Linked DNA regions of Tribolium castaneum. The main gene of each other region encodes a partner of the protein of the gene in region 2 in a complex. Links are inferred from orthologs where the notes say so. Each region holds a gene or a part of one and is shown on either strand. Other genes may lie near its edges.

Region 1 (3,143 bases), on a different chromosome or scaffold from region 2:
TGTGGGCCAGCAACAAGTTGCGCATTTCGGGGTCTGAAACGTCGTCGATACTCACAGCTGGGGACATGTAAACCCTTGGTCTTGTCTTGATTACGTTTTCTTTGGCTGCATTCTCGGGAATTACCTTAATTGTATCTTTTTATTTTGTTGACTGTATTTTTGTACATACGGGGGTTTCGAAAGGTACATGGGGGTCCGTGCCTGTGATCTCTTTGCGTCTCCAAAGTAAGTTAAACGGGATGTAGACGTCGGGGCGTCGGGCCGCAAAAGTTTCATTGTCTTTAGGGACATACTCACTCGGGGGCTTGTCTTTTTTGTCCAAAAATTTTGCTTGACAATTCAAAGTGTCTTTACGAGGCTCAAGTGGGAATTTTTTGTAGTCATTCTGATAAGTGGTTTTGCTTCTAAAGATGTCCAACTTAATTCTGTCGTCGTGCTCGTTCATTTTTTCAACAGAAAGAAGGAACTGACTGTTTCAGTAATTGTAAAAAGTGACAGTTCAAACAAAACACTAATTTAAAAATTATCGGCTTTATTAACGTTATAATTAAATAGCAAGGGCATCGTTCTGTACTTCATGATTAAGCTGAGTCTGCAAATTGGACAATTTATCCTTCAGCATTGCCACCCCCATTATGACGATATTTTCGGGTTTTAGGGCTCCTGCAGCTTCCACATTGAAATAAAACTTGTTTGGTTTCAATTCCCAGTTAAAATCAGCCTCGTCTGGAACATTATGGTCAAACAAAACAACTAACAAGTAAAATATTTACATTGATCCTCATCCAGTTCGCTGTATTCGCTCTTGGGCCATTCGTCTGGCTTAGGAAAAAGCGTGTGTCTCATAGCATTATCGGGGTCGTACTCGAAGGCCACCCCCGCCGTGGGGTTCCACTTGGCGTGTTCCTTACCGAACCCCTTTTTAGCGTAAGCTTTAACCTTCAACTCTTGCCCTTTCCGCAACTTGATGATCAGAATTTCGTCAGTGTCGCCATACTCTGACGATTCATCGTCCCTGTGTTTGGAAGTGGCCGGAATAACTCTAGGATCGCTCGATTTTAAATCTGCGGTGGTAACGTGCCGCGTGTGGTCGTCAGTGCATTTCACATCAAGGGTGAATTCAACACTGCATTCATGACAAAAATCGGTGCAAATGCAGTCCTGGAAATTGCATTTTAGATGTGAAATAGATCAAATTAAACGACTAACTCTTGGGTATTGGAGACGTTGCACCACGTCGTCTGATATGAGGGGGATCAAGCCTATTCTGTGGGCCAAAAATTCGTCACTTAGGACGGTTGAGTTCGCCTCCAACTTGACCCAATCGATGGCCAAAGTTGGCGTTTCGGCGATTAGGACGCGCCTGATGCTGTTAGCCACGCTAAAAATTGGCCAGTTAGTGCCCCCTTAAAGAATTGTTGCTCACCTCAGATCGGTGTCTTCAATGTAGAATTTCACATTATCGTCGGTTAAATCGGTTATGTGGACCGAGGGCTGGTTTGCGTACGGCATATTAGAAAATTTCAATTACGAAAAGACAGGATTTGAACTTTTTTTAACACAAACACCGACAACAACACGACAGAACCTCAAAACTTATTATAAAAGGCAACTTACAGCACTGTCTTGTGTAACTGGTTGCCTGTGCCTATCAAAACTGTCAATTTTTGTGGTGTCAAGGATTTGTCAACCTCTGCAAATTTTTATTTAAAAATAAAAAACGCGAAAACAGTTTAAATATCGTGAGAAATTAACAAGTGTCCAATAATAATGACCGATAACATTCCCACAACGCCATATGTAGTTCAAATTAGTGAGGTAAGTGCTAATTGTTATTTATAAATTAGTAAGATTAAAGTATTATATTGCAACGTTATTCTAGCCCCTCGAAACCATACACTTGGCAGAACAAGTTGATAGTCAACTACAGATTGCCCAAACCGTGAGTAATCCTCACATCTTAGTTGAATCCATGGATAAGCCTCTTGAAATCATTGAAGAACCTTGCACGAGTGTTCCCCAAGAAGAACCACTGGGTTTCCAAATTATGTACCCCGAGGAACAACCATGTGTCGTCAAAATTGTGTACCCCCAAGAACTGAGTTTGATTGTGAGAACCACTTATCTCTTATTCCTTGAATTTATTTTTTTAATTAGCGAGCTCCAAATCTTGTAAAACGTGGACGCCCTAAAAAGAAGAAGCACGAAGCGCCACAAACTGATGCAAATACCGAATCAAAAACGGACAATGTCGAGGCTTCTAAAGCTTCCAGGACTCGTTCTGGTCGTCTAGTCAAGCTCCCAAAACACATAGAAAAGGTAAATTTTCAAGTGTTTTAGAAGTTAATCAGTGATGTTTCACAGGATTTCAAAAAATTTCAACCCAGTGTTAATGATCGCGAAGTACAAGTCACGGATTTTGAGAGAGTTGAGGAGAAGGAGAACAGTAAAATAGAATTTGCTCAATTACAGACCAGAAAGCGGGTGGTGAAAGCCCAGTTCAAGTGCCCCAAATGCTTCAAGGCTTATTTGGGCAAAAACAAAATGATTCAACATTTGAAAAAAAATCCCGACCATGGGCCTCTACCCGAGGGTTACCAGCAGTACAATTTCGATGTTTGGAATTATTTGTTTGACATCACCCAAAAATGCAAGGCTGGGCAAAGGGGCGTCAAGTTTTGCGAAGAATTGAGCAATTTGCTACATAACGTGCAGTTGCTAAAAAGCGCACTGTTTAAGACTGTCACAGATAACAAGAATTGTGTTCAAATTGATAAAGTTTTAGGCAATGCCATTGGCCTGGCGCCTGGGAAATATAAATTTGATGAGAATGAGTTGTATAAGGATGTCACTGTGCTTAAATTAATTACGAATAGCGATTTTTTCAAACCGAATAATGTGAATAGCACTGCTAAAAATAAAACTGTTGAGGAAGCTTATGCGGATCAGAGCGAAAATAAGAAAATCAAAACGGAAACTCCCAATTTGGATGAAAGTTTGCCACAAAGTGGTGACAGTGGGCTCTTAAATGATAAACCAACTGGGGGTGATTTTAATTTAATTAGTCCTGATGCTTCAAAAGTACAAGACGTCCCAACGGTTGACAATTTTGACAAGAAAATGGATGTTGATAGTCAAATAGG
Region 2 (4,182 bases):
AATGCAATACTAAAAATGACCCACTTGTTCTCCTTCTGTCGCCTCCTATTATCATCCTCGTTGAGGACTTTTTTCAACTGTAAAAACAACTGGTGTTTCTCCTCTTTCAGTTTCTGGAGCTTGCTCTCAAGCTGTGAGATCTGTTCGCGGGTTTCACCCAAAGTCATGACGTCTTGTTGCTCGCGAGCTTCGCGTTCTTTACGGAGACGTTCCTCTTCCACTTCGGCCTCCCGTTCTTGCTTTTTGCGAGCGCGCTCACGCAGAATGTGCGCTTTGAGCACCTTCCACATCTGCTCGGACCGATCCGGCTTGCTGTTGTCCACAGCGGCAGGCATTTTGCACAAATTACGAATTATTTCGTATTGTTATTTTACAGGAACTGTCAATGTCAACATGACGTTTGACACTTGTCGGCAGGATTGCCAACAATTTATTGGCCAGATTTTAACCAAAATTGGGCGAAAACTCAAATTTTTGACCCGCTTCCACATGTTTTTTTTAGTTTAAGCACTTGGGCCGAAACTCCCAACATTTTGATACGAATTTGTAGCGAAAAACGCCCGTTTCGCGTGAAAACAGAATTGGTTTAGATTGGCGATACTGTTTCATCCGCGAGGGAATTTTAAATGAAACACGATCAGTGGTAAAGTTTTTATTAAATCTAAATTAATTTCCTTTCGAATATCGCTTCCAGAACTTTTTAACATCATCATGTGCCGATTTATTGATGATTAGAGTCCGTTTTTCTTTGTTACACCAAATTAGATGGCCATTAGACTGTGCATACTCTTTCAGTATATTAAAATCAGCCTAAAACACAAATTAAAACCGCGTAACAATTTTTCTTGTAATACCTGTGATAGGAATTGGCTGTATAAAACGCCCTCTGAATACGTTAATCTGTTCCGCTCAATTTCCCACAGTTTGATTTGATCCACAACTGTCGGAGGTAGAGGATGTTTGGCCTCACCTTCCAACATTTGAGGATGTGCATGTTGTTTGAGGTACCCGATAATTTGATCGGCTGTGATTCCCCCTTTCAAAGCCTGTCTTATGGAATCACGTGTTATTACGCCCACTACAAGGTTCGGAAACCTGGGAAAAGTCCGATAGTCATAACATTTTTTTATTTATTTTGTGACCCACCTATACATCAGTTCTGTGAAAAGACCAATTAAAGCAACTTGAAGATTAGAATCCGTGTAAGCATAAACCCTGTAGTTTGTCTCTACAATTATGTAACCTTTTGGAGTGTCTTCCTCCAAAATTCGAGTTTCGGGGCCTTGGCTACACGTAATATTTAAGGCCAATCTGGTCGGGTAAAAACGGCCTGCTTTGCGCTACAAAATTAATTACATTAATCATGGGTGCTGTGGAATGTGACGTCCAGAAAAAAAAATTTGGTAACCATGGTAACGAAAACAAGACCTACTTTTCTTTGATACACTAATCCGAATTCTCTCAAGTGTTGGAGAAAAATTAAAAGGCCGGGACTCATGCCTTCAGTGCTATAATCCTACAAAAAAATGTTGCTATTAAAAAAAAACGCCAAGTGTTATGAGTTATGACATACTTTTCCAAGTGTACTAAATGAGAGTTGGAATAAAAACGTTAAACATTCAACCAGACTTAATCCTCTTTGCTCAACTGTGTCGAGATATTGGAGTAAAAAATGCCAAACTTGTGCTTGCCTATCTAAGAGTAAAAACTGGAAGCCTTGACGTGTTATAACAGGACTGCCATCTTCCTCGTCTCTACATAAATATAAATAAGATAACGAGTCAATTTTGGAGAAATTCAACCTTTTCATAAGCCCAGCGTGTAGTAAAATTCTGACAGCATCCGCAGAAATTCCCTCTTGTTGTTGCGACCCCACCATGTAATGTAACACACATTCCCACCGTTCGAGCGAATAAGCGTCCAAAAAAGACACATCTCTTGCCTTACTGTCAACTTCTAAAGCCGAAGACATGCTCCAAGGTTTGCCCCTTGGGATAAATCACGCAGTCATTGCAATAATCACACTAATTACACTCTCACCCCCCTAATAAGGCAATTTTCAAATTCTTTTTAAACGTAACTGAAAGGATCCAACCTAGGAGCCCCCCTGGAATCGCAGCCTCCTGCCATACCGACAATTCGCTCAAAACCTTACTCACATAAACGTGCTCTCTACAAATAACCCCCCTTTTCGTGTGTACAAGCGCATTTAAACACTCACTTGGAAAAGGCCTGAGCCCCCCATGACGCCACAACTGCCTGGGGCACCGGCTGTTCAACGAACAAAATTCGAATCACGTACTGGCGTGCCAGTTCTGGCAATTCTCTAAAATCGTCAATCGAAATTTGGAATTTTAAAGTGGGTTTTTACCGGTAAACGGCCAAACAAATCGTTGGATGGTTGTAGAGTTTTTCCAACGTTGCCGAAGAGCGCGTTTTTAAGTAGTCGTACAAGTTTTTACATTCTAAGTTTGTTGGTTTCAAAAAAAGCGAGCTGGGTTGCGCGGGCTCGGCGTCTGCCATTTAAACAGCCCCCTTGCAAACTTAAAATTAGGGTTAGGGTAACTACTGTCAACGCAATTGTCAGATTTAAAGCTAACCCAACTTTTCCTCCGAAGGAGTTGTTATTTAATTAACCACTCGCTTCGTCTTAATAAGTGTAGAAAAAACTTGGTTTTCGCTCTGCTTCGAAATGCCAAGTTTTTGGGCATAAAATATTTTGGCTATGTTTTTTTAATTATTCAAACGTTGGGGAATTTGGGTGGCAGGGTTGGTCAAAAATATTACGGTGACGATAGCACTTTGGAAAGAGCTAGCACCATGAAATTTCCAGCGGACCAGTCAAATCACGGATGTGCGTTTTCAGCACTTTGCGACGTTGCTACGTTTCTCACAAATTATAAGAAAATAAATTATTTACTCATTTTCTTTTAAAATTCAAGTGTATTGTTATTAAAAAAAATAAAGTAAATGCAATTTCAAACTTGTTGTATCTTTGAAAGCAATGGGGGATGTAGATAGTTTACTAGTTGACACAAAAAGGTGAAACCGCCTAATAAAGGCAAAACAAAAACGAGGAGGGCATGCTACCCAATTATTTAGGGGGCAGATTCCACCTAAATAAGATAATTATTCGTTAATTTCTTCTTCAAAAACATTATTTGAAAAAAAAAGTTAATAGAACGACATACTAATTCAAACAGAGGGTTAGATGTCTTCCCAAACTTTTAGAGGATTGAAATTTTCAAGAAAGGTAGGTATTTAATGGGCTTTCATGTGGAATGGGTTAAATGCGTCGACAAAAAGAAATAGTACTAGAAAAAAATATTTAATATTATTAATAAAATGTTGACATATTTCAAACTAAGGGTTGGATGTCTTCCCAAACTTTTAGAGGGTTGAAATTTTCAGGAAAGGTAGAGTATTTAATGGGCTTTCATGTGGAATGGGTTAAATGCGTCGACAAAAAGAAATAGTACTAAAAAAAATATTTAATATTATTAATAAAATGTTGACATATTTCAAACTAAGGGTTAGATGTCTTCTTAAACTTTTAGAGGGTTGAAATTTTCAGGAAAGGTAGAGTATTTAATGGGCTTTCATGTGGAATGGGTTAAATGCGTCGACAAAAAGAAATAGTACTAGAAAAAAATATTTAATATTATTAATAAAATGTTGACATATTTCAAACTAAGGGTTGGATGTCTTCCCAAACTTTTAGAGGGATGAAATTTTCAGGAAAGGTAGAGTATTTAATGGGCTTTCATGTGGAATGGGTTAAATGCGTCGACAAAAAGAAATAGTACTAGAAAAAAATATTTAATATTATTAATAAAATGTTGACATATTTCAAACTAAGGGTTGGATGTCTTCCCAAACTTTTAGAGGGATGAAATTTTAAGGAAAGGTAGAGTATTTAATGGGCTTTCATGTGGAATGGGTTAAATGCGTCGACAAAAAGAAATAGTACTAAAAAAATATTTAATATTATTAATAAAATGTTGACATATTTCAAACTAAGGGTTGGATGTCTTCCCAAACTTTTAGAGGGATGAAATTTTCAGGAAAGGTAGAGTATTTAATGGGCTTTCATGTGGAATGGGTTAAATGCGTCGACAAAAATGGAAAGTTAATTTTGTAAGACATAAAAAAGCCAGTTGAAGCCAGTTTTGCACTTTTATG

What was found. The genes of interacting proteins can lie anywhere in the genome.
Region 1: mrn (region 2) and Polr2C share a complex: the UniProt entries of both Homo sapiens proteins name them as parts of the TBP-based Pol II pre-initiation complex. The link is inferred for Tribolium castaneum from reciprocal best matches to the Homo sapiens genes GTF2H4 and POLR2C.

The regions. Positions count from the first base shown.
Region 1 is NC_087398.1:8,331,993-8,335,135, forward strand, and holds Polr2C (DNA-directed RNA polymerase II subunit RPB3), read right to left. Parts: upstream 1,569-3,143; 5' UTR 1,513-1,568; coding exon 1,427-1,512; intron 1,382-1,426; coding exon 1,210-1,381; intron 1,162-1,209; coding exon 774-1,161; intron 727-773; coding exon 548-726; 3' UTR 516-547; downstream 1-515. Other genes in the region: uncharacterized protein LOC103314913, read right to left, coding at 1-124, 170-445; uncharacterized protein LOC103314918, read left to right, coding at 1,771-1,818, 1,883-2,110, 2,158-2,319, 2,365-3,143. UniProt on the Homo sapiens protein: Core component of RNA polymerase II (Pol II), a DNA-dependent RNA polymerase which synthesizes mRNA precursors and many functional non-coding RNAs using the four ribonucleoside triphosphates as substrates.
Region 2 is NC_087396.1:20,771,753-20,775,934, forward strand, and holds mrn (general transcription factor IIH subunit 4), read right to left. Parts: upstream 2,724-4,182; 5' UTR 2,601-2,723; intron 2,575-2,600; exon of another isoform or gene 2,544-2,574; 5' UTR 2,524-2,543; coding exon 2,372-2,523; intron 2,327-2,371; coding exon 2,222-2,326; intron 2,173-2,221; coding exon 2,041-2,172; intron 1,989-2,040; coding exon 1,803-1,988; intron 1,755-1,802; coding exon 1,574-1,754; intron 1,517-1,573; coding exon 1,433-1,516; intron 1,341-1,432; coding exon 1,147-1,340; intron 1,096-1,146; coding exon 855-1,095; intron 811-854; coding exon 667-810; 3' UTR 640-666; downstream 1-639. Other genes in the region: G protein pathway suppressor 2, read right to left, coding at 25-335. UniProt on the Homo sapiens protein: Component of the general transcription and DNA repair factor IIH (TFIIH) core complex, which is involved in general and transcription-coupled nucleotide excision repair (NER) of damaged DNA and, when complexed to CAK, in RNA transcription by RNA polymerase II.